Schizosaccharomyces pombe: one gene and its partners. Changing the gene in region 4 together with the main gene of any one other region gives a genetic interaction. Each region holds a gene or a part of one and is shown on either strand. Other genes may lie near its edges. The genes, in order: mtl2, art1, bgs4 and rgf1.

Region 1 (7,937 bases), on a different chromosome or scaffold from region 4:
AATCAACTTTCTACGGAAATCACGTTTGTATTGAGGAACGTTTTGATCTAACGACGAAGGTAAACGAGGATCATCCCAAGTGGTAGTCTTGGTATTGTGATCAACAAAATATACACGAGCAGTATTGGTAAGACGCATTTCCCAACCACTTGGCAAAGGACCAAGTTGAGAGACAGGTTGTTGCTGAATAGTAGCATTATTAGGACCGCCATAGGAACGAATGTACTGTTGACGGCGCGGATCCACCCAAGTAGTAGTTCGCGTATTATGATCCACAAAGTAGGGTCGACCCTCTGGTGTATACCTTTGCTCCCATCCCGGTGGAAGCTCTCCTGAACCAGCAGTAGTAGCGTTAGAGGTCAAAACACTAGCTTCTGTACGACGAGCTGCATTGCTAGAGGAAGGTTGAACACCTTCGGTAACATTCGCAGACGATGCACTACTATGCAATTCGGCTGCGGCTGCTCCGGCAACAGAACTTAGGTTGGGGCGAATCCACGTTGTGCTTCTTGTATTATGATCTACATAATAAGTTCGGCCAAGATTATCGGTACGTCTTTCCCATCCAGGAGGAAGGCGCCCATATTGATCTTCAAATGAACTAAATGTGCGAGGTTCTGAACTAGCAGGGGAAGCAGCAGGTGCGTTGTCGCGGGTAGGTGAACCAGCACGAGAGGAAGCAGGGTTACGAGACACACTGCTACTTTGTGAGCTTTGCGGGTCATTGGTAATGCTAGTACGTTGGGTACGTGCACCTGATGCTGCACTGGATGGAACCTGTAAGGTTGACTGCGCAGTCGTTGATAAGTTTATGATTATCTTGCCATGAACTACTGTATTCTCATTTGACTTTTTCAAATCGCGGGTCAACATTTCATCACCTCCAATGGCGAGATCGAGCACATCTCCAACACGAAGATTTATCACTCCTAGAAAGCCTTGGCCTTTTTTCTTAAATTTTTTCTGATCGAACACCTGAATCGCAATGGTGCTATTATCTGTAACATTACTAAAGAATTGTTAGAAACATTGTTTTTAATCAAAAAGTTAACATTAGCTAAATTATAAGGGATAAACTGGAAGAAACCCCAACTAAAATTGATATACATAAAAGTTACTTGGAAAGGTCAAAACCTGGGATATACACTTACACTTCAAAAGTCTCATTCCAATAAGGGTTTAACGTCTTTTTGATAGCAGTTGTGGTATGTGTTTGCTCACCATCCACTGTTAGTACCGCAAACGGGTCAGGAAAACGAAACACATCTCGTTTGTAAAGGCCATCAGCAGCAACAACTATTTTGGGTCAGCGTTTGCACAGGGCATTTGAATAATGTCATCACATACTTGTTACTCGAATTCGACGAGATCTAATCATAAAAGTTAGCAAATGTGTTTATAGCAGTTAAAGAACTACTTACTGAGCTGAGTTTGACATAGGGGGAAAAGATGGTAAAATTTCAAACCAGCGTTGCTTTTGGATAATAAAAAAAAGCCAATTTCCCAAAGAAAGTCAAGTATTTGTGCTTGCAAAAAAAACTTTCAATTAAGGCCGTTTTATCCTTTCTATTTGATACAAAAACGCTTTTTTCGGGAACGAAATAAATAAAAAAGAACTACAAAAGGAATCCTTAATCAAATTCGTGCTTTCAGCGCACAATTTTGAAATCCGTCGGATTTCGCGTGGTGTTGGCTGAAAGGAGAATTAATCGGTCTTGCAGATTAGATCCTTAACGCATTATAACCCATTTCCTTATATATATACAACGCGATTACCAAATTGTTCTTTATCTTTTTTGGCGTACAGAAAATACGTTTTACGTGTTAACTACGAAAGTAAATATCATGCAGCACAATGTATGATTTGCAAGCTATAAGCATTTAATAAATTGATTTAATACGAAAGAATGAGGAAAATGTATATCTAACCACTTTGCGTTCAAGTGATAGTTAGAACTGAGAAGAAAGAGAGGAAACGAAGAATTGTAAAAGGTACATACAAGAAGGCAAACGGAGTGCCGCGAATAAAAGTAATAAAGCCAGAACTTAGCAACAACTCTTAAACAGACAATGCTCAAAATTTTTATTTTTTAATTATCAGTAGTCGAGCATGCTGGCCAAAACAAAGTTAAGTAAACATCCAGCCACACGAGAGAAAGTAGAGCTAGATGGTCCTCAACATGACGAAAGAGTAAGAGCGATAAGTGCAGCGAAGGGAACGTGACGCTCCATTACATATACGAGACGGTGAAAAAGGAACGGAAGGAAAAGAAAAGGAAAAAGTACAGTATGTACATTTATTTCAAAGAAATGAGATAACGAGATTGGTTAGGCGACTGAAAGTAAAATTGAAATGGCTGGTCATAAAGACTATTTGCTATCCACTTTCAATAACAAGAAACCATGGGATGGAAAACAGGTAGCTGTTAAAAGTTTCATTTCGTTTTACACTATTCAGGAAAATTGGCTTTCCGTCGCATTTGACAAGAATTCGCCATTCTGTAAAGAAATGTACAAATGAAAAAACAAAGCGAAACGGCGAATGAAACAGAAATGATTGATAAGTAATGAAATGCAAATGAGAAAAGGATAAGAATAAACAAACCAAAGAGACTTTTTTAAGGGTTGTATCTCACTACAGTGAAACAATTGAAAGAAAAATTCAAAAGTCAGTCAAAAGATGAAGTCGATTTAAAAGCAATAAGTTAAGGAACCAGATGACATATTTAAGACTTTGAATGAAATGCAAGCAACGAAATTTTCTTAAAAAAAGAGGGCCATGAGAAAAAGCAAATAGTTAAGTTTAAAAAGAAAGTTTGAAAGAAGGATAAATAGTTTGCTAAATAACTCCTTTTTTAAAGAAAGTAAACCGACGGACCAATTGATTGTATGAGATGGTATAAGCGAAACCCATAATAATAACAAAGCTTTGCAATGAGAATGTGAATTTCTAATACCATAAAACTGTTCAAGCAAAAAGGAAATGAGTGAGTAACGGTAAAACAAAGAGATAGCAATAAGATTGAAAAGATCGATTACTTAAGATTTTCGTAAAAAACAAAGGTAAAAGCCGAATAAAGAAAAAGTTGTTATACGAAAAAGTGATGAGCAAGCTTTTCTTCGCAAGACTTTCTACCATCAATTGAAGGCAAGCGTAACTAACGCATTTATTTTAAGCGACGGATATATCCAGAAATTGTAAACAAATAATTTTTGCTTAAATCTATCGCAACAAGTGTTTAAGCGCATACTTTAAAACAGGTTCAACCTGCGAGCTTCCGATGACGACCGAGGAATAGAAACGTTGCTACTTGATGGGTTGTCAGCAAAAGGTGAATAATTGGGCTGGTTAGAAGCACCAGTGCTTGTTGGGGAAAGAAGATTGCTTTGAGATCGACTAGACAGAGCTGCCCTCGAGCCGTAAGAGGATTCTCCAGCTAAATCACTAGCCATGCTTTCACTGTCACTTTCAGGAATCGTAGCTAAAGGACCTTCTGGATAGGAATCTGAACCAGAACCACTGTGTTCTGCAGCTTCGGCCGCAGCTCCAGCGGCACCAACAGCAGGGCCTGACTCAAACGGAGATGCAGACAAACCTTCAGAAAAGTTGCTTCCATTAGATGGAGGCATTGTAGCTTCAGCTTCGTTAGAAGCAGAAAGATCAGGTGGATTTCCAATCGGTCTAACCATACGGGCTCCTTGAGGACGAGTAAAGCTTCCACCAGTATTAGCTGCATCAGAAGCATCAGCACCGACACCAGCAGCGGTAGCAGCTGCAATTGGACCAGCTGAATTACTACTGCCACCCAAAAGGCCGGGCTGAGAAGCTGCAGGCGGATTGGCTCCGCCAGCGCCGGCAGAAGGTCTAGGAGCAACAGGCCGTCCGTTAGTATTGTTTCCAGCAGCAGGTGTTGGGCTTCCATTCCAGCCACGATACCTGTTATTAGTAGAGGGAGCACGATTTGGGCTACGGAAATTGGAGGGTTGATTGGGGTTAAATCCGTATTCCTCGACTTCTTGCATGCGCTCAGCCTTAATTCGTTTGGACCGTTGATGCCTTTTCCAAAGAAAAATTCCTAAACCAATCAAAATTAGAACTACACCAACAGGAATAGCAACAGAACAACCAACAACTACGCCGACATGATTGCTTGACTTGTTAGATTTACTGGGCAAAGTGCCACTGGAAGAATAAGAAGAGCTAATAGGCGTAGACGAAGTGCTGGAAGTGAAAGAACTGGAGGAATTCCAATTATTAGTAGTAGTGGGGGTCACCACTTCAGAAACGTAAGAAGTTGAGACCAATGTGATTATTGAGGGTCCATCTCGATACGTACTACTGACAATGCTGGCTGAAGAACTCAAGCCGCTCGTAGTCATGGAAGAGCTGTGGTAGGAAGAACTAGATGATGGGACACTAGACGAATGGCTTAAGGAACTACTGGACATCCCACTGGAGGAACTACTAGCGACAAGAGAACTACTGCTGCTGCTAAGCGCGTGACTCGAACTACTGGAGGTCGGGGAAGCACTGCTACTGGAAGTCAGTGTAGCACTGCTACTAGAGGTCAATGAAGCACTGCTACTAGAGCTTTGTTGGCTGCTTGATGAGACCAAAGATGTGATAAAAGAAGAAGAAGCAGGAGAAGTAAAAGATGAGGATGAAAGAGGTGAAGACGATGATGAAGAACTAATTGCAGTAGCACTAGACGATGAAAGCATAGAGCTCGAACTAGAAGGAATCACGCTTGAGCTACTCAAACTCGTACTAGCAGCAGCAGAAGAGCTGCTTGCCGGAATACTGCTAGAAGCAGATGAGCTGAGGGAAGTGTCCACACTTGAAGTATTGTTCGTGAATGACATTTTCTCTTGCGTGCGAATTCCCTTACAGAAAGAAGGTTTTTTGAAGTTTTTAAAAGAACGTTGGATTTTTTTTCTAGAAAAATAATAAGATCTCGTCCAATTTCAATGTATCTTGATGAATTCCCTTAAAAGCACGGTGAAGAGTAAGCGGTAAAGAGAAAATGTCGCGGTCCTGCTTGGCTTTGCCTATAGGTAAGGGTGATGCACTTTTCAATGTGGGGATTCTTTCCGAGTTAGTTTCGAGGCTTTTTTTCACCTTACCAATATGTTACCTATCAATGCTCTAGCAAAGAACCTTAAAGTTACGAACCAGGTGAAATTTTACTAAGGCAAATTATTCATTTCAAATGGCTGGATAAAAAGAGATCGCCGTTAACTTGCGCTTAATGAGAAAGCTACCACAGTTTTCACATACTGCAATATTCATATAGATTTCCCTAATTTTAAATTACTAAACATCCGCAACAGTAGATGCCATTTACTACTGGCTTGAAACATATGGCTGCATTTGACACTATCGTTTCCACGCGGTAATTGAGTTAACCACCTTACATAGTAACAATGTATTGAAATTTTATTCATGCCAAATTAAATTGATATAGTAGAAAATTAGTATTATCGCTTCATCTGACTAGTAACTCCGACTAACAACCCATCCACGTTACTAAACCTGCTCTTAAGAGACAACTGCAAGTGTGGTAAAAAAATTTTGTAGTTGGATGCTGCTAAAGAATCACAACGACAGATAGAAAAGTAACAAGAATAGTTGCAGTAACTTGACGAATGATCGCATCTTCTAGACAAAAAGTCAGTTTAAAAGGAATCTGAAGGATTAGATGAATATGGAATGACAATAAACTCTTTATTTAATGAATGCCAGCCGTAAAAAAAATCAAGACAAATAACATATAAGTCATAATAACAGGAAATTGAAATATTGAGAGAGGCCCAGAATTGCATGAAGCAAAGTCCTTATGTTTGCGAATGTTTCAAGACACCATAGCTTCACACAAAAGTAGATGAGTTTAGATTAATTAAAACAGAAATTCTCTTCATCGAGGAAATTTAAGCGATTTACTTCATACCATCGCTTGACTTGTTGAGAAAAAAAACCATATAAGAAGTAGATGCAAAAGGACGAGAAAAGGGAATAAATATAATCAGACAATTGGGGTAAACGTTAAAAATTCGTAATTCTTGCAAAGAATTGAATGAAAATAGCAACTTTTCCAAAATAATAGTACATATAGGATAATCGTAACAGTTTAGGAAGTTCATAAAGTTAGAAAATCTATATAAAACTGTGAATCCCGAAAATATTAAAGTCTTCATCGCTGTTGTCCCAAGAATGTCCCATTAGCCGTCGCATACCGGCATCCTCAGCGGTTGCCAGTCGAGGGATAGACACCTGTGGGTGATCCAAAGGTTTGTAAATTGATGAAATACAAGTATTGTAAGAATGACATGAATTACATTTATGACCCAAGAAATGGTATTTCGTATCACAACGTGAGTTACAGTCATTGCAACGGATGGTAGAAATCCAAGTGTTATAGGGATAAGGCATGGGTTGTCGTTCAATTTCCATATCTAAAATTCGAAACAATGAATTGACATTAATGATCGTTTTGTAACAAGTAGGACAACGATAATTGGTTCTTATATATTCTTCATGACATCGCTGGTGCAACGGATGAGAGCAACTTAAAAAGATTACGCGTTCGCGAGAGTTAAACATGTATTCACCACAAATTGGGCAATTACAATCCGTACTTCTTTCGATGCAACGATGAGTATTGAAAACCGAAATAGGTAAACAAAGGCCACAAGTCTACAGCTGTTAGAATATGAGTTTAAAAAGCAAAGCATGTGCTAAAAGTACACGAAAGTTACCTTGCAGTGGAAATAATCATCGCCAAGACCGCGTCCTATTCGACAAATACCACAATCATCACAATGATAGCTACTTTTATTCGGATCGTCATCCCAAAGTTTGCACTGTTAAGTCATGTATTAGTGATATTGAACAAGTATCAAATAAAATATCACATACCTTATTGCAGTAATATCGGCCCATACAGTTCTTACAGTATTTGCAATATTGAGCTGCTGGTTGAACCTTGGAACATATCATGCAAAGCATGTTTTCTACGGCAGGTCGTTCTAAAACATGATCACAAGCATCGTTGTGACAGTGACGGCACGTATACCACTCGTGACAATCGAAACACTGAACCTTGCAATTGCGCATGTAATGAGAACACCCTAAAATTTCTTGCTCTTTGTCATAATAAGTCTTTTCAAGATCAGATGAGCTCAATTGGTTCTCATCAGATTCTTTCTTGTGAGTTCGTCGATATTTTAAATAACCAGACATCAGCATTTTCTACAAAGCCAGTTTAGTAATCTTATTTTCATTTAAATCTCACTTTTATGATTAATTTCATGTACTTACCTGCATAAGTAAGGCCTTTCTCTTCTCACTCAATTGCGACATCGATTGTATTTCGTGGATTTTTTCACGTACGGAATCTTGCTGCGTTAAATCCACTCCTTTCAATATTTCTTCATCTTCTTCATCTTCTTTTTGCTTTTGAACTTCAAGGAATTTCTTATTACAAGAGTCATCAGTCCCAACATCCTCTTCAGTAATATCTTTCAACAGGTCAGGAGGTAGTTCGAATATTGAGGTTAATTCTTGTGCAGCTTCCTCAAAAATCTCAGCGAATTCACGAAGATACTCCGACAATGACATCGACTTTTTTTGTGTTTGTTTTTTTTGTTATAATGATGGTTCTTGATCAAAAGGAGAAGGGGAATGCTTACCTATTCCTCGATCAGTTCAGTGTTGACTTATAGTGTGGTCCAGTGCAATGCGGAATGTGATATCCGTGCCATCACACTATTGTAAAAGCCGTAGATATACTTTGATCAATTTTAAGCTACGCATTCAAATAGTAACTTAATTTTTGCTCTCTTAATTGTTAAATCATCATTACTAAATATTTGAGCAGGCTCTTGAGAACATCTGCACCTTAACATTATTAAAAAGTATATGTAAACAAATTATTATT
Region 2 (6,431 bases), on a different chromosome or scaffold from region 4:
AGGAAATTTCCTTTTCGCGTATTCAAAAGTATAAATAGCATTGAGGAACAAGTCATTCTCAGTTAAAGTTGATCTTTTAAGGAAAGGTATAAGTGGCTCTTTGGAACTATCTATAATTTTCCTGACCTCCTCTTTAAAGTGAGTGTAATCAGGGGTTACAGAAGAAGTTTGAACTTCAGCTGAAATTAAAGCCCGAAAAATGAAATGAAAAATTTGTTCAACTTTGAGTATCGAGGGCAGTAATTTTTGCCTCACCCAGAAATTATCCAAGATGTCTTTCATATAGTCAAGTTTACCACTATAAGCAATTAAACGTATTAACTCATAAAGTGTAGAATGATTTGGACGTAAACCATAATGCGAAAGATCCTGAAGCAATGAAAAAGCGACTGTTTGAAAACGAACATCGGTAGCTAAAGCATGAATTAAATTATTAATAACGAACGTTGTAGGGGTTAATGGATCAATTGGTCTTAATTTCATCTCATTGTATAAGTCAAGTGCCTTTTCTGGATTATACTGAGAAGAACATATTTGAATCATAAGACCGTATGTTTCAGCCGACGGAGAGATGCTAGTTGCTGTAAATTTCATAAAATTGAAAACTTCCCACGCCTTTGTAAATTCTTTGGTTCGAGAAAATGCCTTGATACAGGCATTTAAGAAATCCTTTGATGGGGTGATTGAGACTGATTTTTGTTCTGAATAGAGTGCAACTAAATCCTTGTGTTTACCAAGGGAAGAAAGTGCAATAGCATATGATTGATACACCAAACCATTCGGAGGAGCATTTGATTTTTGATACAAATGATACAATTGGACAGTCTTACGGAAATCGCCAGATGCGTTGGTGGATTCCATAAGCAAGACAAGCAAATCAGGCATAACTTTCATACCACTTTCTTCAACAGCTTTCCAAATTTCTAGGGAACTTTTTGAAATAACAGTTTGAGGAAGATAGTTAAAAAAGTTGACTATTTCTACAATATCAACCCCTAAAAAGCATTTAGGAATGTTTAAGAGATGGCGAAGATGACTGTTCCATTCTTCGGTAGAAACCTGACGATTTAACAACGTATTGTCATTAGCTAGATTTGAAACAATATGATCGACTGAATAATTATTGCTGGCTGTGTTCTTAGATTTCAATAGCCCGATTCTCGTAAGTAGAAGTGGTCCAATTTTCAATGGAGTTGTTCTCCTCAATTCGTGGTTACCTGTAGATAAATGATTTTCTTTTTCCTTATCATAAGAGTTAACTTCTGATATAAATTTAGTCCAAACTTCATCAGGAATGTTAAGGGGAGACTATGCTAACGTTAGTAAACAAGACAGTATCTTTTAGCAGTGTTATTTTGTACTCAAACCCTTTATTTAATAAATATTTTACCTTTTTGTTTATGTCATTTAGCTTAACATCCTTTAACTTTTGTTCGTATTCACGTATTTTCAGATCTAATTCTTTCTGTGCCAACTTCCAAGATGCCTCATTTGTTGAGCATCTAGCTTGTATATTATTGTTCAGGAGATTTTTAGCAATATTAATGTTATTAGGGTTATCTTTATGATAATGTAAACGTCGGCAAGGACCACAAAATCTTCTAACAGCTAAAAGTGTTAAAGAGCCAGAACATTTGTTTAGCATAAGGTACAGTAGCTTCTGAAATCTCAAAAATTAAAGATGTTTGATCTTTTTTCCTGATAAAGTAGTCAATAATATATAGATATTAATACCTGGATTGAAACGTATATTTTGTGGATGGAAAGTTAAGTGGGTATTAAACGCTTTGATAATGATCTCGTATTTTCATTCCTCAAAAGAAATTTAATTGCTAATATTTTAAACTTTTACTTCTGGTTATACTACTATAAGAATGGATTATACAAACTTAAGGAAGAGGTGTGGAAAAATTTTACTCACAATGAGCTTAATATCTAATAAAATTGTAACTGATTTAAGAGTGTAACCGTATACTGGGCTATTAGATAACAAAATGCAATCGTTATATATATTAAGCCTTACTCAGATTTAAATGCTTACTACATCTTTACTTTCAAAGCCACATACATGAAAGTGGAAACGCCGACATAAGTGCAGCCGATGTGATATTCAAACCACATAAAAAAGGAAAGTAGTACATTATATAAGCAGGTTTAAAGCTGTTTTTATTAAACTAAAACCTACTCTGAATAAAGTGAGATTTAAACTGTTGACACAATTTAAAATAAATAGTCAGTTGTACAAAAAAGCAACCAAATAGTGACCAAAAGTCCCACTTGCTAAATCTAGTGAATAAATAAAACAATGAAGACATATTCAATAGAAATTGATTTGATGTCGAAGAACAGGAATACTTTTTAAAACAAAACAAAAACAAGAAGACCATTATTTTTACTCATAGCTTTTGAAACCAAACAAAAAAACGAGGGACAAATAAATAAACAAAGTGGGTATTTAATTGCAAACCAAAGGCTTGCAAATATCGAAAAACACAGGGAAATACAGAGGTAAGGCTTATGATCAACAATATCGGGATTTACATTTGTAGTAAAGCACAGATTGAGCTTGAAAAATGTAACTTCCTAAGATAACAGGACAATGTCATCATTCAAATAAGCAAACATATTATTTTTGGAAAAATCTGAAGCTCGCACAATCCTAACGTTTTCTTCGAGGACAACGCCTCCGTGGCTTTGGCGAACGTCAAGGACTCGGGTTTGAATTTCATTAAGTAAGGCTTGACTTCGTGATCGTTCCACTGGGGAAACAATAATTGGGTTTGTTATTTCAATGTTTCTAGCACGATATAATTGTACTTTGATGACTAGCATGTATTGTACAGAGTAAAGATCAGAGGTGGTCGTGAATCCAGTGATATTTGCATCTTCAAAATCAATGTCGGGGAAAGGTTTAGAAAGGCTTTTCGATAAACCTTCCGATGTAAGTTTCATATCATCCAAATCTTCTTCGTAACGTAATACTTTCTTTTTACGAACTATTGGGCTTGAAGAAGAGGGATGTATGAACGTGATGTATTCAACCAAGGAAAGAGAAAGTTGCTGTACTCGTATTTTAGAACCATTATTAGGCATGATGGAAACGAAGACGGAGACGAGATCCGAAGGTCCAATACACAGTTTGGGTATTGATACCTCTACTACAACACGACCATCGCTACTCACTTGCCGAATATTAGTAGGGGAATTATACATCCCCCAAGAAGATAGATTATCATACCTGCTGAGTGACACTGGTACAGTGGTAGTAATATCCGGTACCCCTAGTAAACTCATGTGAGCACGTAGTTCATATTTCGTGGAGCATATTGTACCAGACCGATTCAATTCAAAAGTCGATGGAATTTCTGAATTTTCGGGAAACGGGATTTCAAAGGGAAGGTCCATTGACCATACCCTATGAGTAGCGTAAGGATCTGAAGAAGAAGAGAGTATAGGAGTTTGGTCACCAAAAGGAGTGATAGATGTGTCATTAGAGGAAGATGTGGTGGATACTGATCTAAACGGAGTGTAAGGAGGTTGATATACCGAAGATCCAGAGGCATTAGGAAGATGAGGTGGAGGGATAGGTGGAGTAGTACGGTTATGAGTATGAACAGAAGGATTATCCTGATCAGACGCATAAGAATCTACTATCCAATCGCTAGTAAGGGAGGGTGGAGGTGATTTGATAGACAAATCGCTGATAGAATAATTATTATCATTAGGAGGTATGTTATTTTCAGGATGCTCGGAATGAAGTGGAAACAAAACCTGCCTTGCCAGACACTTATTATCTGATAAGTGATTACTTATACCCAAGGATGGTATTACCACTGATTCAATTTTCCATAATTCTAACGTTATTTGAACCAAAGCCAAAGGTTGGTGAATTTCTTTACTTCGAACTTGGACGATACCAACCAACCTTGGAGCTGAAGTTGGTATCCCATTAAATCCAGCTTGGAAATCCAAATGTGGTAACGGACGTATCTCCAAAGGAGAAAATTGCCGTATTAGCGTACACGGGGATGTCATGCTCTTACATTTAGTGAGTTCCTCTGGCTTGGTGCTGGTTATGGGAAGTTGAATCTACCAAATGGTAGACAGGTTGGTTCAGTGCAGCAATGTCAGATCTAGATAGCTAAATAAAATCTTTTAAGCACTCGCTTAAACACTGCTAAGTGACTTTTTATAGCAATGAAATTAATAATATTTTATTATATAAAAATCTAATTTTAGGCCAAAAAATGTACTTTTGTTTCCATTCCATAGAATTAAAATCAAAAGCCTACAATTGATAGCCAAGCATCTAAAGCTAGTATCTGTTGTAAAAAAGTTCCATTTTGATTACAATAGTAAAAACTAAAATGACTTTAATAGCCTAATTTTGAAATTGGTATTTTCAACTTAAAATTCACTTACGAAAGCCTAAAATATGTTTATTCTTACAGCAGAAGGCTTTTTTTTTGAATTTTTGAATTTTTGAAACCATAACACACGATTGATCGCAACATACATATACGAAATATAGAAGAGAGACTGAATTCAAACGAAAACAATATAGCAAGATATCAGATTATTGAGCAGCAGAAGAAAGGGAAATAAAGCAAGTAAATACTATTTTACTAAAAATCAAACGAATCTCTAAAAGAACAGATATTTCACGCATAGTTAACAGACAATGCATAACAAAAAATTCAAAATCGAGAAAAACAAGAATCAAGAGCAACTGGTAATGCTAATTTTTGATAGTTATATGAGCCGTAGTATGATAAAAAACCCCGGCGATAATTGAGGAAATTCATTGCTGATGTACGACTCTTTTCTATCTAGGAAATAATGATTGTTTGAAGGATAACCTGAATATAGGGCTTTCTGTTCATTCAAAGATCCCTTCAGGAAGTGTTAAATGGTTTGTATAAAACTAACTCACATTTTCCGATTTATCTTTTCATTTTCAGGGCATATATCAGAACTTAAAACAATTTACTAGTAGCGATACGCTACCACTTACTTATTAAACGCTTAAAAGAGTAACACAGTGTACTGTCATGAATGTATATTTTATAAAAGCAATATGATATTTAATTTACATTAATATACTTGTAAGCTTCTCACGGCTAAAAGTAGTGATAGCCCACATTGAAGTAGGATTTTAGTGTAATGAAATCAAACACAGTAGGCCCTAAAGATAAACGGACACTTACATGTTAAGCAACATAATTTAAAATCTTACAAGCAAAGCTAGCGGCTCGAAAGCCAAACATTGTAATATAAACACAAAAAGTAGTTTGTTTACAGTAAATACCGCAATACTCGTATAACGAGGTATTTTCACAACGTAAGCAAGAACGCGCTCATCCTTCCAGGTTGTTGTGTGTCACAGCCTCTCGCGATTCACCCTTTACAATTCACTCGTGAATGATAGGAAAACGCAATGCGTCAAAAAGGACGCGTCAGGATGATTGTATTACATATGAAGAGTATCAAAGGAAACGTAAAAAGACATTTTTGAACACGTTTGTTAATATTTGTTCTCGTACAGTTACTTATGCAAAACTTTTTTTGACAAAAACTCCCATTTCTGAATTGGATCGCATCGCTGGCGAGGCGATACCATCTAATAGTAATAGTACAAATTCAAAACTAGAGCCTTCTACTAAAGCCCCTGAATCTCGGTTTTCTCACATAAATTCCAAGACTGAACGTGGTTACGTGACGGTCGAATCTGATATGTCTTCTCACAATACTCTTGACAGAAATAGTAAACCTACCGTTTCTCATTCATATACAAATTCTAGTAAGGATGAAAAATTTTTGGATCCCATTGCTCTTCAAAATCTATTTTCCCCTGCCTCTGACACGCATTCTCAAAACATCCATGACGAAGCATTATCTCCATCAAGCTTTCGTGTGTCTCGTTCGAGATACTTCCCCCGACCTCATCGGTCTTCCAAAAATTTATCTGTTAGTAATCGGTTACAGCTTGCGGTTTTTAAGGAAACAACTTCATCGACATTATCCCACGGTAATTCCGTTGAGGCTGACGAAATAAACTCTTTTAATCCTACACCTTTCTCTTCTTCTCCTCTGCACTTTACGAACTCCTCTCCAAATCCAAACTCTGACATTGTTACACCGGACAAGCAGCTAGATGTTGTTAGCGAACACGCCAGATATAAACACCTTCCTTTTACGGCTACGTTAAGAAAGAAAAGTCCTCATGATTCAACGTCTCGGAAAGCCTCTTTTAGGTTCGTTCAATCTGATCAGCAACCAGCGCGGAATATCGTTACTTCTGATATCCAAAATGAAAAATCATTACTGTTGCTAATTCGAGATTTGAAAGAAAAGCAAACAGAATCTTTTCAAGATTGGAACGAAGTTGACTTTTTACAATTAAAAGGTTTGGAAATATCTCCACCCCCCAC
Region 3 (6,827 bases), 1.0 Mb from region 4:
GAAAGTAGTGTGAACAATATTATCGTCCTGAGAGACAAAAAACGTAGGGGTTCTAAGAGTCCTACGTCCTTCTTCAGCTGGAACTTGATGATACAGAAGACGTTGTACATGATCAATGGAAAGTAAATGTTCACGATACATAGAAATGACAATCGCATTCCAAATTTGTGAAATTAAAATTTTAGGTTTGTACTTAATTTCCATGTCATTCGTGGCCAAAATTTTACCATAAATTCTTTGGGGCATACGGCTAAAGATATTTCTCCATGGTGTGAGGATCGAAATACCTAAGACGAATGATCTTAAAACAGAGAAGATAGTATTGAAAATAATATACCAAAGGTACGTATCCAAAAAGAAGAGAATCAAGTCAGTAAAATACATGATACCCAAAATGATCCTTGGTTGGACAAAACATAATCTGCTACCCGCCCAATAAATAGAGCAAAGATAAGGTCGCATGGTACTCAAAACAATAATAGGATCTCTGATAGACAAGGTAAGGAAGAAATAAGATTCAGCAAATTTGCATGTGAAAACACAGACCCAAATAATAACAGAGAGTGCTTGGTTATCAAATTTTAATGGTGCAAAATTTGAAGTGAAATACTTGTTTGCCAAGTATTTACGAGAATCTTTCACGGACAATTTTCCAAATGTACTTTGTAGAGGTACAAGAGAAAAGTAGACGTATGTAGCAATAGACATCAAAAATGCAACTACACCAACAGCGATACGTCGACCACTACGCTGTTGATGCTTACTTGAGAAACCGAAGATATAGACGATAGGAATCAAGTTAATGATAGCGATTAAAACAATGATACATAAACGCTTCCAAATGGGTTTTGATCCAGGGAAACGACGGGGGACAAAAAGATATTCACACAAAGAAGCAGCAGCCATGATAATACAAGAAACAACAGAGGTACAAGCAACAGCAGCCCATTGGGAAGCACCTGTTGGCTTGGGACCATCGCGCTGATGGAAAGGTTTTGTGTAAAGAGTAGGAGAGTTGAAAGCAGTAAAATACCAAAACATACCAAAGTGGATGACCCAAATACGATTGAAATTGGTAATAAGATGAAACCAAGAACGGGATTCATAATAAGTTTTATAAAAAGCACGATTCCATTGAACTTCTGGAAGCCTATGAAAACGCTCAGAAGCAGGAATATCAATAAGACGAGTGCCGTCTTCAAAAATAAGACGTGCTATACCCTCAGCATGCCAGAAAAGTTGGTTAATATCATCGTATCCAATTAACTGGTCATGTGGACGTTCCCGACGTACATATTTCCCATTGATAATTTCAAACTGCTGATCGTGCATATATTGGTAGAGTGGGGAAACAATATTATCCAAGTAATATCCTTCAGGAACTGGTTCAGTGACGTTTTGTGCCTCAGGTGAAATAATATAATCGTAAGCACATTTGAAAAGGAAGGCTATTACCTCAGGCATGAAACGAACATTGTTTGCCTCACCCCACAACAAAAGCCACAATGCAATTTGTTGAGCACGCTCGAATTGAGTCATTGAGCGCATGTGAGATCTCCAACGATATTCGGCGGATTCTAAAGAATCATCGGTATTAACATCAATGTATTCGTCTTCCGCCTCCTCGGGTTGCTCCTTTTTCTTCTTGCGCTTGAAGCGAGACTTCCTTGGAGGCTTAACAACTTTAGGGGCTTTTTTGTTTCGAGAAAAGAACTTTCCTTTCTCTTTGATAGAAGTAACTTTACCACCATAAATGCCAACATTAGCAAGACCGACTGCATCTTCCCGATCCATCTGAGAAGCAAAATACCATTTTTTATAGTTAGCAATATCACTACCAATATAATCGGCATGAAGCGTAAGCAGTGCTTGATCTGGAGTCATGCGAGAAGCACGAGAATCTAAAAGACACATAAAAAAATCATACATATTACGCATGGAATCGCGTTGGAAACCCAATTTATTGGTTAGATCAATGAATATGTCTTCAATCTCTTCCTTAGTTAAAGGGAGTTCGTTTTCAGGAGTCCAGGCAGGATAAGGCTCACGATTTGTGAGATTAGCGCTATCGGCATAGAATGAACCACTATCGCCATCCAATGGGGTACCTGAGCCCGAATTACCAACAAAAGAAGAGTTGCTAAAATCATACGGACTGCTACCGTAAGGCACACTGTTGTAGACGTTAGCCAACGAATCGGAACTAGGATCATAAGCGTTGTATCTACCATCGCCTCTCAAATTGTAAAAATTGTTGGCATCTGAGGGCTGAGCATTGTAATCTGAATACTCAGACTCGTATTCATCTGAAGGACGAGTAAATTTTCCTTTTTCAGTGGAATATTGATTGATACCTGAAGAGGCGGTGTCGACAGGAGTGTATTCATCTCCATAACTTTCAGTTACACCAGTAGGGTAATCATACCCATTGTAACCCTCTCCATACATAGAATCGTAGTCAGCCTGATCCAAAAACTCCTCATTGGAATACGCATCAGCAGGCTGGCGTTGGTATGCATTTTGGTCATCATAAACCTCTGAATCGTAAGCGTACTGATCATCCGAGACAGCATCATGACCAGTAATACCTGAAACATTTTCATTATTTCCAGACATTTTCTACTATGCTTAAAACTTGTAAATAGATTGAGGAATGAGGACTAATTAGAAATATGGTGAAAGGAGTTCCCAGTTAAAGAATAACGAACAGAAAAAAGAAAAGAATGAACAATTTCAATAGGAACTGAAAAGAGGGACTGATGACTTAATGCTTATCCGCTCTTGTAAGCCAAAATGAAAAAAGAACCAATTAATGGATGGAATAAAATATCAGAAAAGTAAAGGAAAAGAAATAGAAATACAAACACTAAAAGAGAAAAGCTTCAACAAACAAGATAAGCAAACTCCGTGAATGATCAAAGTGACTTATCTAAAAGAAATTCACTCCGTTAACAGGTTGAAATGACGATAACCGTATGTAAGGGTGGATAAGCGTCAAGTTTATAAATGGCGATATATGGGTAGATATTAACGAAAGAAAATTTCTAAAAAAAGGAAGGAATTCCCTGTAAAAGACTGTAATGAAAAAGAAAGAAAGGAAATAAAGGTAAGCAGATGATTTGCCAAAGCTTTGAAATAAAATTTAAGTAAGACAAAATCTACTCCAATGCGATAAAATATCAAGAAAGTAATGCACTAACAGATGCGTGTAAAACGGAGAATGCCACAAATGATGAACCCAAAATACAAGAGAAAGGAATATACAATAAATTTTGAAACTCGGAAAAAACCGAAGAGCTCTTAATTTTTTTCACGCTAAAATCACTGTATAAAACCCTTTGCAAACAGTACGTCTATTAAGACAAAGTAAAGAAGGCTCAATGGACAAAGCTCCTAAATACCAATGTCTGTCGATTCAACAGATGAAATGAAGAAGCCAGAACTTTAAGAAAAGAACTAGATGCTGTTGATTCTTGGGGATAAGATAACTTTCTCTCAGTCTTTTTCTTTGATTTAGATATAAAAAAACTTCAAGGGCACTCCAAAAAGAAGGGGAGGGGAAAGATTTTTTTTAAAGCGGGAAAGAAGCGAGAAGAAAAAGGCTGGTGGGTATAAACGAGGAGTATCCGCAAATGATCGTTATTATATGAAATTAGCAATAATAATAATAAAAGAGAAAAAAGGAAAACTTTGAATCTCTCAAAAGCAATATGAAACGAATAAAAGACCGTCAAAGTTCTTTTTACCACAAGGTATAAGAATTGAATAACGGGGAGGTAAAAGAAGAAGTAGAGAAAAAAAAACGATGAAGCAAAAACAAGTCGGAAAAAAAAACCGATGCCTGTTTGTTTTCACAATCAAGGAAAAACTTTTGTTGCAGTCCAGAAGGCAAATGGGGTCTTGCTCTTTTTTCAAAGGAAACTTGAAAAAAGCAGGCCTAGTTGCCTCACACGAAGGAGACTTTAATCGGGAGAAAAGAGAATAATTTAAAAATACGGATTGTTAAACAGTTTTCCCGATATGTGAATCCTATAGACGTTTGTTTTCAACCAAACTTCAGGACTACGCAAACACTTTCGAGATGTGTTGTTGGCGGAGGGTAGTGTTTGGTTCAGGAGAGACGGCTGGCGTACGTTGCAGGACCACCATATAAATCTTAACGAAACACAATAAAAATACTTAAATATTATTAAAAAACTAATATTTAAAAGGGTGACTACTAAGCCATAAAAACCCCAATGGAGAGGAGTATCGAAGTAGTAATCAGATGCAATTTTTATCAAGACAAGCCGGTCCTTTTATAAGCAGCGTAGTTGGTCTTGCTAAGTAATTCCTAATGTTGATACCAGCAGCTCGCAAAATATATGTATCAATTAATAGAAGGAGGGATAGTTGAAGGCAAGAAAGAGACTGCAGAAAACATGAGCTATTGAGATGAATAAAAAAAATTATAAAGTTAAAAAACTGAATGGGTGAATTACAAAAAAAAGACAAGAAAGTAAATAATTAAAATTTGTTTGATATAAAAAATGAGTACGATGGAAGTAAAGTTGTCGAATAATCAAAAAGAAAAAATATCTAAGCAAGAGAAAAATATGCAATAGAAAAACAGATCAGATTTTTTTATTTAAATCGATCGTCTTTCATGAAAAACTAGCTAATATTTAAATGTATTTTATTCAAACCCTCTACGCTTTAGCAGCATTAGCGGAACGAATTACGTTTACCAACATTAGGAATGTCTTTTCATTCAATTTGCACACTTATAAATAAACATCCTGCTGCTATTTTCGTACAATCCTACTATGCACATGCTTTCGAGCAAAAAAAAAAAATAAATAAATTAAAATTAATTAAGTTAACCCTACAATAGAAAGTGTAATTTTTCGGTTTTCACTATAGTGAAATTTTTAGTGACGGTTTCTTGCCATATTGCTAGAATCGTATGTAAAATACTGGATATGGTGTGGGATGGAAGAAGCAAGAAGGTGGCAGAAGAGAAAGTAGATAAGAAGAATGGGATAGAATATAATGGAATCAATGTGTCATTGGAAAATTCTTTAATAGTTCTTTTACGCTTTTTTTTTCTAAAAAGCTTCGAGGTGCAACATTTTTCTTTGACTTACTACCTAGAAACCAAAATGTAAACAATCGGTTATGTACAATGTAAACAAAGGGAAATTTGTTGTAACCATTGATCATCCTCTTTGCTACACCACTGATTGGGAAGAGCTGAATCTACAAGTAACGCTGTACCATTATTTCTATGACAACCGGTAACGGGCTCCGATAGGGTAAATAAACAAAGCTCGCTACGAGTAAACAATTGGTTTGTTTGGAATTGGCATATGGGACCGATAATAGCGGCTGGAAAAGGAAACGGTAGAAAACGTGAAAAGTATATGAAAAGAGCAGGCTAGATGAGATAGCAAAAGGAATAATGGGTAAGATAGATGGAAGAATAGAGTTGAGCGGGGAGAAAGATTTGGGTGGTGGGTAAATGAGGAAAGAAAAAGGTCGAATTATTGGAATGCAAAGGCTGATTAAGCGTAAAAGTTTTAAATCCTTTTTCAATGGCGCAAAAACTAGCCTGGTATATACATGGATGCATATTACCAAGATCCTATAAAAGTCCATTTGAAATTTCGCTCTTTTTTGGCTGTCCCTTCTACTAGGGAAGCGGCCAAAATTCCTATGAATAGAATGGGGAAGATGGAAAGGCCTGGTTCCTTGATATAGCGTGGTTTAATAGAATATCCTAGTAGAACATTGGGTATTGCCACAGAACTCGCAATGCAGAGCGGTGGAAAAATAACCGTGTACGGGAATTGAAAAACCATTGATGGAAATGGATGCTACGGGGATTTTGGAATGCAAGCAATTATAGCGAAGAACCGGAATCACATTAAAAAATCTAAAAAATTCATCAATTCTCCTTAATTAGATACTATACATTCAATCTCTCCATGTATTCAAATCTCTTAAATTGAATTCGTCTATTTCGCCAATTGTCAATTACGTTTCCATACCGTACATTTGAAGTAACGTTAAAAATATTTTAAAAAAACAAATTCATTCGGTTGCATGTTCCGATTCTAGTAGAACGATATTATTTGAAAATGGTTTCTTTCTTCTAGTCTACGAATTACCGATTTTTTTTCTCGTCATGAAATCGCCCGCCATCGGGAACTTAACGAATCAATTGTACTATAGCGTCTCGGTTTAAAGACGGAAAGGAAATTTTAGTTGGTTTGCTATCGTAATTCCCTGCCAAAAGCAATGTAAAACGGGAATCCGAGATAACAGCAACCCTGGGAAAATCACTGTTTCCTATACCGGTTTCTACAACATTATTCTATAACATTATCCAGTGAAGTTAAGACTAGCGGTGGTAAGTTAAGTCTCCTCATTGTTTACACATCGCCTTTCGTCCTGAATGCTAGCGAATGTTTTCAAAGAAGTTGATTTATGGAAATCGCTAGACATTCAAACTGCGTAGTATAACAAGCAGCGTCGGTTGGACGATACATTGGCGGAAATTTCAAAATTAAAAGAATTTACTTCTCTTGCTCTACTACATTTCCTTTTTATCGCTTTATTTTTCTAATAAACCTCTATTAATGCTCTTTATGCATACCTTTCTTGTTAATTCTATACTACACTAATCTTATTCTATCCTAATTCTGGTTTCCCGCCAATTTCAATTTAATATGACTTTATGCAAGACAAAAGGCCGAGACTTTATCCATGCAATTGTTTAAAATAGATCAGACATACTTACATATAAACGCTTCCAAAACAAGCTTAGCGAACAATAACTTAGCTTG
Region 4 (8,902 bases):
TTCAAAAACATATCCTCTTTACCAGATACCTATACTAAATTGAAGCCTCAAGCGCAACTTGCTCGTCTCAGTTACGTTCAATTACCTCCTCCCAGCTCTGATTACTATGAAGACGCAAGACTCGTTTTCAGGGAGCTAGCCATGAATAAAGGTCTAGTGGCTAAAGTCGATGGACACGAAGGAAACGTGTATTCTGTAACTTTGTATAATCCTAGTGATGGTTCAGATTTTTCTGACTGTATTAATGCCCAACTGGTTGCGCTCGGCATGGCTAGTGTTATTCCCAAGAAAAAAACATCTCACTTTGAAAAAGATACCGCATCCCTCAATATTCTAGAAGAGCATCAGCAAGAAGCACGTCTAAATCATATCGGTTTCTGGGTATATGGTGATCCCCTAGAATATGAGGACTAAAAATATTTTACTTCTAGTATAGTAACATTGATCATATTCGCTAGTACTTTTTGCCTACAATATATCTAGTTATTCACTTTAAAATATTGTTAACGTATATATTTTAAAAAAATCTTATTTATCATTAAAATTCATGCACCTAAATTATTTTTTTAAAAAAGAAAAGAAAAGATAACCGAACAAACCAATATCCAATTAACCGTTATAAATAAAACGTGAAAATTAAGTTCAAAAAAACCAAAATTACTTGTCTACATGCTGCTCTTTGGCGTGGGCAGCAGCACTCGTCAATCGAAGGGAACAAACAACACTTGTCTCACAATTTTCACCACGTTGATCGCACGCATAAAATATTTCACCACCGTCCCCTAACTTTCCTCTTCCATCAGCAAGCAAACGGATGTTTCTGCCGGAAATGACATGGATCAATTCAGAGGTTTCAACATGTCTGATTTCAATAAAAGTGGGTTCAAAAGCCAATATATAAGGATAACTTAAGGCAAAGTTTTGAGGACTTCCTTCCCAAACAACAAACCATGTAGGACGAGAACGCCATCCATCTCGATTTACGTAAAAAGCAAATTGGGAATAGCATAAAAGAAATTCACCGCCATTCATACGATAGATAGCGATAGGTTTAACATTTTCTTTCTTCTCCACAAATTCAAGAGACGTATCGGCTGGATCCAGTAGAGACTGCGTCTCTAGGTTATCGAGACTGACCACCTCAAAACCTCTCGTACATCCGACACAGAGTTTATTCTTCAGGAAGTGAACCGAAGTTGATTCCGTGGGTATATAAAGCTCTTTGACAATCCTCAATGGGTCTTGGTTAACAGTAAGGAATTTTTTCAAGCTTGGCATGTTCCGTGTTTTAGAGTAATTAGTGACTGGTTCAAAAACCTTTATAGTAGCACTCAAGACGGAACTTTTGACAGCACACACAAGAACTTTACCCAGACAAATTCCTACGCGAAAGAAAGTTGTATGACCAGAAACTTTCCTTGCTTTTTTAGGGGCTTGAGTAGTATCCGCATCAATCATTTCCAAAGGATACGAATATAACACCTTATCGGAAAGCAGTAGCAATAAACTATACTCTTCAATAACCTCAAGCTGTGAAATGTTGGGAATATTTAACGCACGTACAGGCTTGAATTGAAGTGGGCTGTTTGCTTTTCGAAGAGAGACGTACACACCTGTGTCAGTCCCATATAAAAGTCGACGACCACTATCATAAACGCCTATCGCATTTACTTTATTATCACCAACAAAGAAATTAGAGCAAATGGTAACAGACTCAAACCACTGGTTACGATGTTGTAGCAATGTTTGTTGGTTGTCAATATGCTCTAACCACTTATCCCTACTAACTTCAGTGGTTGCATAAAGAGTGATTTCGTACCCTCTACGACCCAAAAGTTGTAAGCTAAATGGATAAAATCTAGAAGGTGGCTTCCCATTCGCTGCTTTTGATACAGCTGCTAGTTGTTGCTTACTTGAATAAGGGATTCTTAATCCATTATCATCAACAAGGAATAGTTGAAGAAGTAATAGAGGAATAGGCTATACTAGTTAGAAAAAACAATTTAAATGAATAGAAAAAACATACTCTTTGAAAAACTTTCAATAATTCACGTTTATTAATAGTCTTTGGTTTTACTATCAACAAAGCATGGTCAAAGAGAAACAAAGTAACATCCGACGCAGACTCTGAAGAAGTGGAACCAGCACTTCTTTTCTTCAAGGGTCCTTTGAATATTAATTGTCTGTTCGCATCAAGCAGATGTAAATCATAATGTTCTCCAGGTTTAAAGACCAGCTGTTGATTCAAATGAAACAAGTTAAACTTATTTTCTGCTTTTCCGCTTTCAACATTAAGACGTGAGAGAAATCCTCTAACGATATTAATGACCTTCGGAATGTCTTGTTTATCAGGGTTACCCTCATCAGTATATTTTAATACCGCTTCTAGAAGTAATGGATAACGAGCCAATCTGGTAGTTGGTTTAGTCAGATAGCCGTTTAGCTCTAGCTTTCGTGATTCTTTCAGACGTTCAACGTCACTGACAAACTTAGCAAATGCAGGATTAGATGACTTTTCCTTCTCAAACTCGTATTTTCCGTAGAGTTGGCCTGCACCATATCGTATGAAAGGCTCAAATTTTGGAACGTGCTCCAAAAATATATCCGCAATATTATCCACAATGGGTTTATAGTTTTGTCTTTTAGTAAGAGCTTCAGCCAATTTAGAATTAACTGCTTGAACCTCTAAAGCATTTAAAAACACAGTACGAATAAATTTTTCTTTTTTTCGTTCAGGTATACAAGATGAAGCCCATAGTGGTTTAATCCAATAATCCCGAAGATATTCCAAATCCTTAACAAAATCTCGCTCAGTATAGATAACCTCACAAATTACTTCTTGACGCTTTCTTTCCCGGTCACTGACACTATAAGCAATCTCCTGGGGTACGCTGTGAATCCACAATTTTTGTTCCTTATCATCAAACGCTAGGGAGGAAGACTGTTCAGTGTTTGCACGCATTTTGGCAAATAGTCTGTGCTGCTGTTCCAATCGTCGAGGACATGAAATAGAATAGCAGGGATGATCTTTTGCACATGTTGGAGAGTAACAATGCGTCAATAAAGTAAATATACCATTTGGAAAAGAAGTGTCACCTAACGTGGACGGTGAGATTCGAGTGCCCGACTCATTGTCCTCCAATTCCTTATGATGGTTTTTGTTGTTAATGGATGCATTATCATTTGCGCGTAAGAAGGGGCGATAACCAGTACCTTGAAGCTGATATATTTCACGATGAGAATCACGAAGACGATGATCATAGGTAACATCATGAATAAATTTTTGTGCATCTAAAGAGCGTCCGACAAGTAAAGCGAGATTTCTATCAGAAGTATGTATAATACCCATTAGCACGGTGACTGCATGATCGCCAGTAAAGGCATTAGAATAAATTAAACCGTCTTTCGTGATATCACCTAGCTGTAGTCTATCTAACAATTCGCTGGCAACACGAGAAAGTAAGGCAGCATATATTCTGCGTCTTCGTTTATTTTTATGAACAGGCGAGCTAGCTTCCGAATTAACAAACGTCGGCGTTGTTGTAGAGCTTCGATCATTAATTAGGGAATTTCCACTTGCACGGGACTTATAAGAGCTCAACGTAAAGGACCTTGCAGTAGGTTCAACACCAAGTCTCTGCTGCTTAACTGCTTCATAATGAGCCAAGGTAGAATGATCAAATGAGCGATTTCGCATATCATGTTCTCTGTCTCGTAATGTGGTAGAGGGACCATGAAAGACATTAGAAAAGACGTCCAACCCAGAAAAAATATTCTTATGGCTGCTAGCAGAAGCTATGCTTAAATGAAGATCCGCGGGATTGCTAGTAGATTTTGGTAGCTGAAGGGACTGGGCAGGTGGAGAAACGTTAGCAGGATATTCACTAACACTACGTATGAGAGGTGCTTGAGCTGCAGGAGTAACAGCATTGGGAAGTGTAAAGGCGGAATTAGAAGAAACAATGGGTGGGTGAGTTCCTGAAGTAAATGAATGAGAACCAACAGTGTGAGAAGAATCATCAGTTGGTAATCGAGAATTTGAAGAGAGAAAGGGATTTTTAGACGAACGAACAGGAGAGCCGTAAGGATAATTTTGATCGAGATGAAGGTTTGTTTCTACGGACTCTGTAACAGAAGAGACTGCTGAAAGGAGGTTCTCATCTACTGAATCCGAAACCGGAGACGTGCTACTCTGAGACTGACGCCGAACGAAAAAAGGATTTTGGTTGGAATCATCACCGGATGATGTGTGCCAAGTCAAAGAAGGGGAATTAGAGTTATTGGGCGCATGATTCGATACCTGAGGAAAATGGGGTGTGGTGTTTAAAGATGCATATAGAGCACCAAAATCATTTCCGTCTTTAAGAGTCAATGGGACGATCTGGTGATTATTTGAAGTACCAAAAACGGAAGGAAAAGATTCACTGTGCTCAATATTTTTCACAGGAGATGCTTCTCTCTGATGAGTTGGAGGTGCAGGAGGTTGAGACGATGGAGGCTGCAAACTCGTGGAACGAAAGGGCAAAGGTTTCCGAGGAAGCCTTCGCGTGGGAGGAGGAAGAGGTTTTTTTGAGACTGGAGCCGGTTCCATGAACGCAGGAGTACTTACAGTTCTCGCCGGCTCCCGTTTTCTTGGAGCACCAAAAATTTCCTCATAAGCACGCGAGCTCTCATTCACACCGAGTGCATTTGGATGCCGGTAATCCATTGCTACTATAAAAACAATCAGTTTGACGATCGAATCGACAATGCTGAATGTTTCCCGTGAAAACGAGGGTTTGGTGGTGGAGAAAAAGACAAGATAATTTGACCACAAACTTTCTGCGAAAGTAGCTACGAACTCGTTATAACGGTAAGATGATGAAAAATTCTAATTTATACGATTTTCTAAATCAAAGACCATTAATATGTAAATTGCGTATTGCTTGATGAATTAATGTTTTGCTTTAGTATATTGCTTTCACCTTCAATTTCTTTTGCATGGAGGGTTTCCACTCGAAACACATGCTAAAAGGCGACATAAAAAAAGGCTTTTGTTAGTGTTTCCAGAGTTGAATGTTTAAAATTTGATTTAAATTATAATAATAAGTTTATATAGCCGTCCTGGTTCGTTCAATGAAACAATTGATTTGTTTACTTGTCTGCTTAGCAATTTGAGAGAGCAACAGGTATATTAAGAAAAGATTATCCTCGAAGGGAAAAATACGTATACTTAATATATCAGAAGAATTGTTACAGCAGCAGTAAACCGCATTAATATTATGAAGGGATGAGAAGCTATAAGTCATCAGTATGCTGTTTTGGGCTAAGTTTATCTACTTCTTCTATAGATAAGGTGATTTCAATGTTGAATATGTAGTAAAAAAGTCTTGAACTCCTTAAAAAAAAAGTACAAATCTGAATTTTCACTAGTCCTAACAAAGTTAATATCAACATTCAACTGCATCCTGGTCGACTTTCCACTAAAAAAAAAAACGCTTATATAAAAAGGGAAGTCATGAATGAACTCCTTTACTTTATATTGCCTATTGCTTTTCTACTTGCTGCAATTTATGTGCTCACTTTTTCTGTCCGACCAGCTCATAATTGTATTACCGATTTACAAATATGAAAAACATCATCTAAAATAATTAGCTTTAATCCGGATAACCTCAATTGATCGATTTCTATGACTATGCTGTATTGACTTATTTTATTTTAATTGCGTTCGCATTGTTTACTATTCAGCTTGTGCTCAACATCATATAAATTGATCAAATATCTTTTTGTACACTTTATTTGCCCTATTTATCGTTTAAATCATGTAATCTAAATTTGGAAAATTTGCTAGTCAAAGACCAATTTTGTTCTTCCGTCGCGAACATACAACCAGCCATTTTCTTATCCACTCCGCTCGCCGTCCACGAAGATCCCTTGGTGGTGGGTTATAAGTTATTTAACATTTACACATATATTTAAAAACCATAAAGTCCTATAATCTTTTCTTAGGCATCGATTTTGATTTATCCCAAACGTTTCATTAGAAGAGGTTGTTTTTTTGATCAAGTCATTACCTTTCATAATATACTGCTTTTGCTTTCTCTCTTTCTCTGTCTATAAACCTACGAAACTTGATTCCTCTGAAACGCTTGGGAGCTTTCTTTCCTTTTTGGGTTGTTTCAATCAGATCATCCTATATTATTCCTTCCGCCCTAACCCTTTTATTGTGGCATCACAAACCGAATAAACAGACTGTTGCATTGATATTGCGATACAATTCTTTCTTTCTTTTTTTCTTTCTTTCTGTATTCGTAATTTTATGTCAAAGTCTTTTATTAATAGAGGACGGGAGTTTCTCTGGTTCATCGCATAACTTTGAAAGCATCAATCGTTTTCATTCCGGCTTACTATAAAATTGCTTTTTTTGAGGGCGTACGAGATTGGTTTGCATTTTTTGAATTCCATTGACACTGAATTTGTTCTATTTTAATTTATTTTCCCTTATTTTATTCCATTTATTAATTTCTCTTCGCATTTCTTTCTTTTTTTTTATACTCTTCTTTCTCAATTCCTTTTTCTATCTTTTTTCACCTCTCTTTTCTCTTTTGTTGCACTGTCCATCCTGCAACATTTAGTTTTGACCTTTCTCTTTCTTGGATTGCAATTGAAATTGACTCCTATTTGGCCTTAGCTTGCCTTGATTCTTCAAATATTATTGTAGTTCTTTTTTGACCTAGTCATTTTTGGTGATTGTGGTTCCCCCTACCACTTTTTCTTTTATGAAGCTCTCCAATGAACTTTTTCATCGGAGCTCGAAAGACCATGGTGGAAAGAGCCGAATTTGTTTAGACTCTTCAGAGGACACTTATCCTCCTCATTCCTCTTCTCCACCATCTTTTCAGAAACGTCTATCGTTTTCCGACTTTTCTACCACCAGACTCTTTTCTCCTCCTTTTCTTTCTAAACGTTCGAATAATTCTCCCCATCGGTTTTCTTATTCGCCTCCTCAACATCCAGCATCCATTAACTCTCGTAGAGTCGCGTCTTACACGGTTCAGTCATCTCCATCAAGAACAACGTATCGACAATTGCCGAATGAACCTCAAAATTCTGCAGCCTATACTACTTACTCTTCATTTCCTAATGCCTTATTTGATGATTTCAGTCCTAACAACCCGCTTGACACGGACCCCTTTTTAACATCTCCTGGAAACAAACAAAATACTGTAGATTCGTTTCGTCCATTACCTGAAACGCCTGTTTCTCCTGGTGGGTCCTTAGTGCATCCTTTACCACGTCCACCCCTTCCTTCTTCTGTTTCTTCGCATTCTTCTCCTTACAGCACCACATCCTCCACTAGTCTTTACTCTCTATACAATGACATATCGTTATCCTGCTCACCAGAGCCATATCTTCCTTTATCACCTACTCGATCACCGGCTCGCACTCCTAGTCCGATTCGTCTTTACTCGAGCGACGCTCTTCGTCCACAGTCGCCTTTAAGCCCTTCCGTCGAATATCTAACACCCCCAAATCCTTATAGTTTAAAATCTGATATTTCCTCTACAAGACAGCTACCAAAGATACCTGTCCAAGACTATGCATCTGGAAAAATTTCTTCTCCTTTGATAACTCGAACTCACAGACGTGCTCAATCGGAAACCCTTTTTAGCAGCTGTAGAGAACCTTGGTTGGTCGGTAAATTATACAAATGGTGCAAAGAAGAAGTGTTTACTGCTCTTGGTGGCCTGGTCCACGAAGGTGTGTCTCGTCGAGAAGTAGCTCAGGTGATGGCTACGCTATTTACTATTCACATTGCATCTATGGAATTTTTGATTGCTGAAATTATCGCGAAAAACATCCTTGGTGATTGGATTAATTACGGTCTTGTGGAAGTCATAAATCTTGAAAAGCTTCAAATTGCTTTCACATCTAATGAACCTCCTTCTGGTAGTGGAGTACTTCCATTTTTGACCAACGGCGGCTGTTACTCTTACATTTGTAGATCCAGATCATGTCCTTCCAAATATCAATGTTATAGCTGTAGATGTGCTCGTAACTCGTCGCTTGAATTCACTTCTCTGCCAGGACAGAGTAGCGATACTTGGAGCATTTTCTGGAACATTTCTTCTCTAAATTCATTACCATCTTCTCTCAGTAAAAGAGAGATTGCTAGGCAAAATAATATCCACGAGCTTATTTGTAAGGAATCTGATTACGTTGCAGACTTAAATACCCTAGCTGAACTGTTTAGGGACGGAATTGTGCAGCAGCAAGATGCGATTGTTCCCAGCAATCGAGTGGCTGACTTTATTCAATCTGTATTTGGAAATGTTGAATCAATCAGACAATTGCATTCTCGACTGTTCTTACCACAATTAATTATGAGGGAACGTCTCCAGGGCCCAGTAGTTTCAATTATTGGTGATATCTTACTAGAGTGGATTCATGCTGCTAAATCCTCTTATATTAATTATGCCAAACAGTTCCCTTTAGCAGATGAAACTTATAAGCTAGAATGTCAAAGGAATACTTACTTTGCACGTTGGCTTGCTGCTTGTCGATCAGATCCTAGATGTCGTCGGTTGGATTTCCAGCATTTCTTGCAAAGACCTACTCAACGTTTACAAAGATACACGCTTGAGTTGGATACAATTTTAAAGCATACCGAGCAGTCCAGCTGGGATTTTCAATTAATAACTCAAGCTGTCAAAGAACTGAGAGCAACTTGCGAGGAATGTGATGCCGTTATAGCTACCGTACTTGAGGCCAATCGTATTCGCGATCTATCGTATCAACTTCTGTTTAAAAATCATGAAAGTGTCAATCTAGAGCTAAGGGATCCTGAAAGAGAGTTCTTTTTTGAAGGAATAGTTCAACGTAGAAGTGATTCCCGCTTGGATTGGTTGGACATCCACTTGTT

Evidence for each region.
Region 1: of rgf1 (region 4) and mtl2, extra expression of one rescues a mutant of the other (dosage rescue), as found in Schizosaccharomyces pombe (one study listed by BioGRID).
Region 2: of rgf1 (region 4) and art1, extra expression of one rescues a mutant of the other (dosage rescue), as found in Schizosaccharomyces pombe (one study listed by BioGRID).
Region 3: of rgf1 (region 4) and bgs4, extra expression of one rescues a mutant of the other (dosage rescue), as found in Schizosaccharomyces pombe (one study listed by BioGRID).

Annotation. Positions count from the first base shown.
Region 1 is NC_003424.3:3,956,824-3,964,760, reverse strand, and holds mtl2 (protein Mtl2), read right to left. Parts: upstream 5,013-7,937; 5' UTR 4,864-5,012; coding exon 3,253-4,863; 3' UTR 1,847-3,252; downstream 1-1,846. Other genes in the region: HECT-type ubiquitin-protein ligase E3 Pub1, read right to left, coding at 1-1,009, 1,152-1,296, 1,348-1,370, 1,422-1,438; SPOM_SPAC2F3.16 (ubiquitin-protein ligase E3), read right to left, coding at 6,155-6,694, 6,757-6,861, 6,917-7,249, 7,319-7,618.
Region 2 is NC_003423.3:2,361,696-2,368,126, forward strand, and holds art1 (arrestin-related substrate adaptor for RhoGEF, Art1), read right to left. Parts: upstream 4,119-6,431; 5' UTR 4,036-4,118; coding exon 2,584-4,035; 3' UTR 2,120-2,583; downstream 1-2,119. Other genes in the region: PPR repeat-containing protein Ppr3, read right to left, coding at 1-1,308, 1,391-1,645; SUMO deconjugating enzyme Ulp1, read left to right, coding at 5,422-6,431.
Region 3 is NC_003421.2:2,252,531-2,259,357, forward strand, and holds the start of bgs4 (cell wall and secondary septum 1,6 branched 1,3-beta-glucan synthase catalytic subunit Bgs4), read right to left. Parts: upstream 4,123-6,827; 5' UTR 2,617-4,122; coding exon 1-2,616. Other genes in the region: SPOM_SPCC1840.13 (uncharacterized protein), read right to left, coding at 5,239-5,637.
Region 4 is NC_003421.2:1,241,069-1,249,970, reverse strand, and holds rgf1 (RhoGEF family guanine nucleotide exchange factor Rgf1), read right to left. Parts: upstream 4,786-8,902; 5' UTR 4,709-4,785; coding exon 2,027-4,708; intron 1,981-2,026; coding exon 658-1,980; 3' UTR 501-657; downstream 1-500. Other genes in the region: tudor domain and nuclease, Snd1, read left to right, coding at 1-414; RhoGEF for Rho1, Rgf3, read left to right, coding at 6,759-8,902. UniProt on the Schizosaccharomyces pombe protein: Stimulates the exchange of Rho1 and Rho5 GDP-bound form into GTP-bound form. Controls septum formation, cell wall synthesis and localization of F-actin patches. Coordinates actin deposition with cell wall biosynthesis during bipolar growth.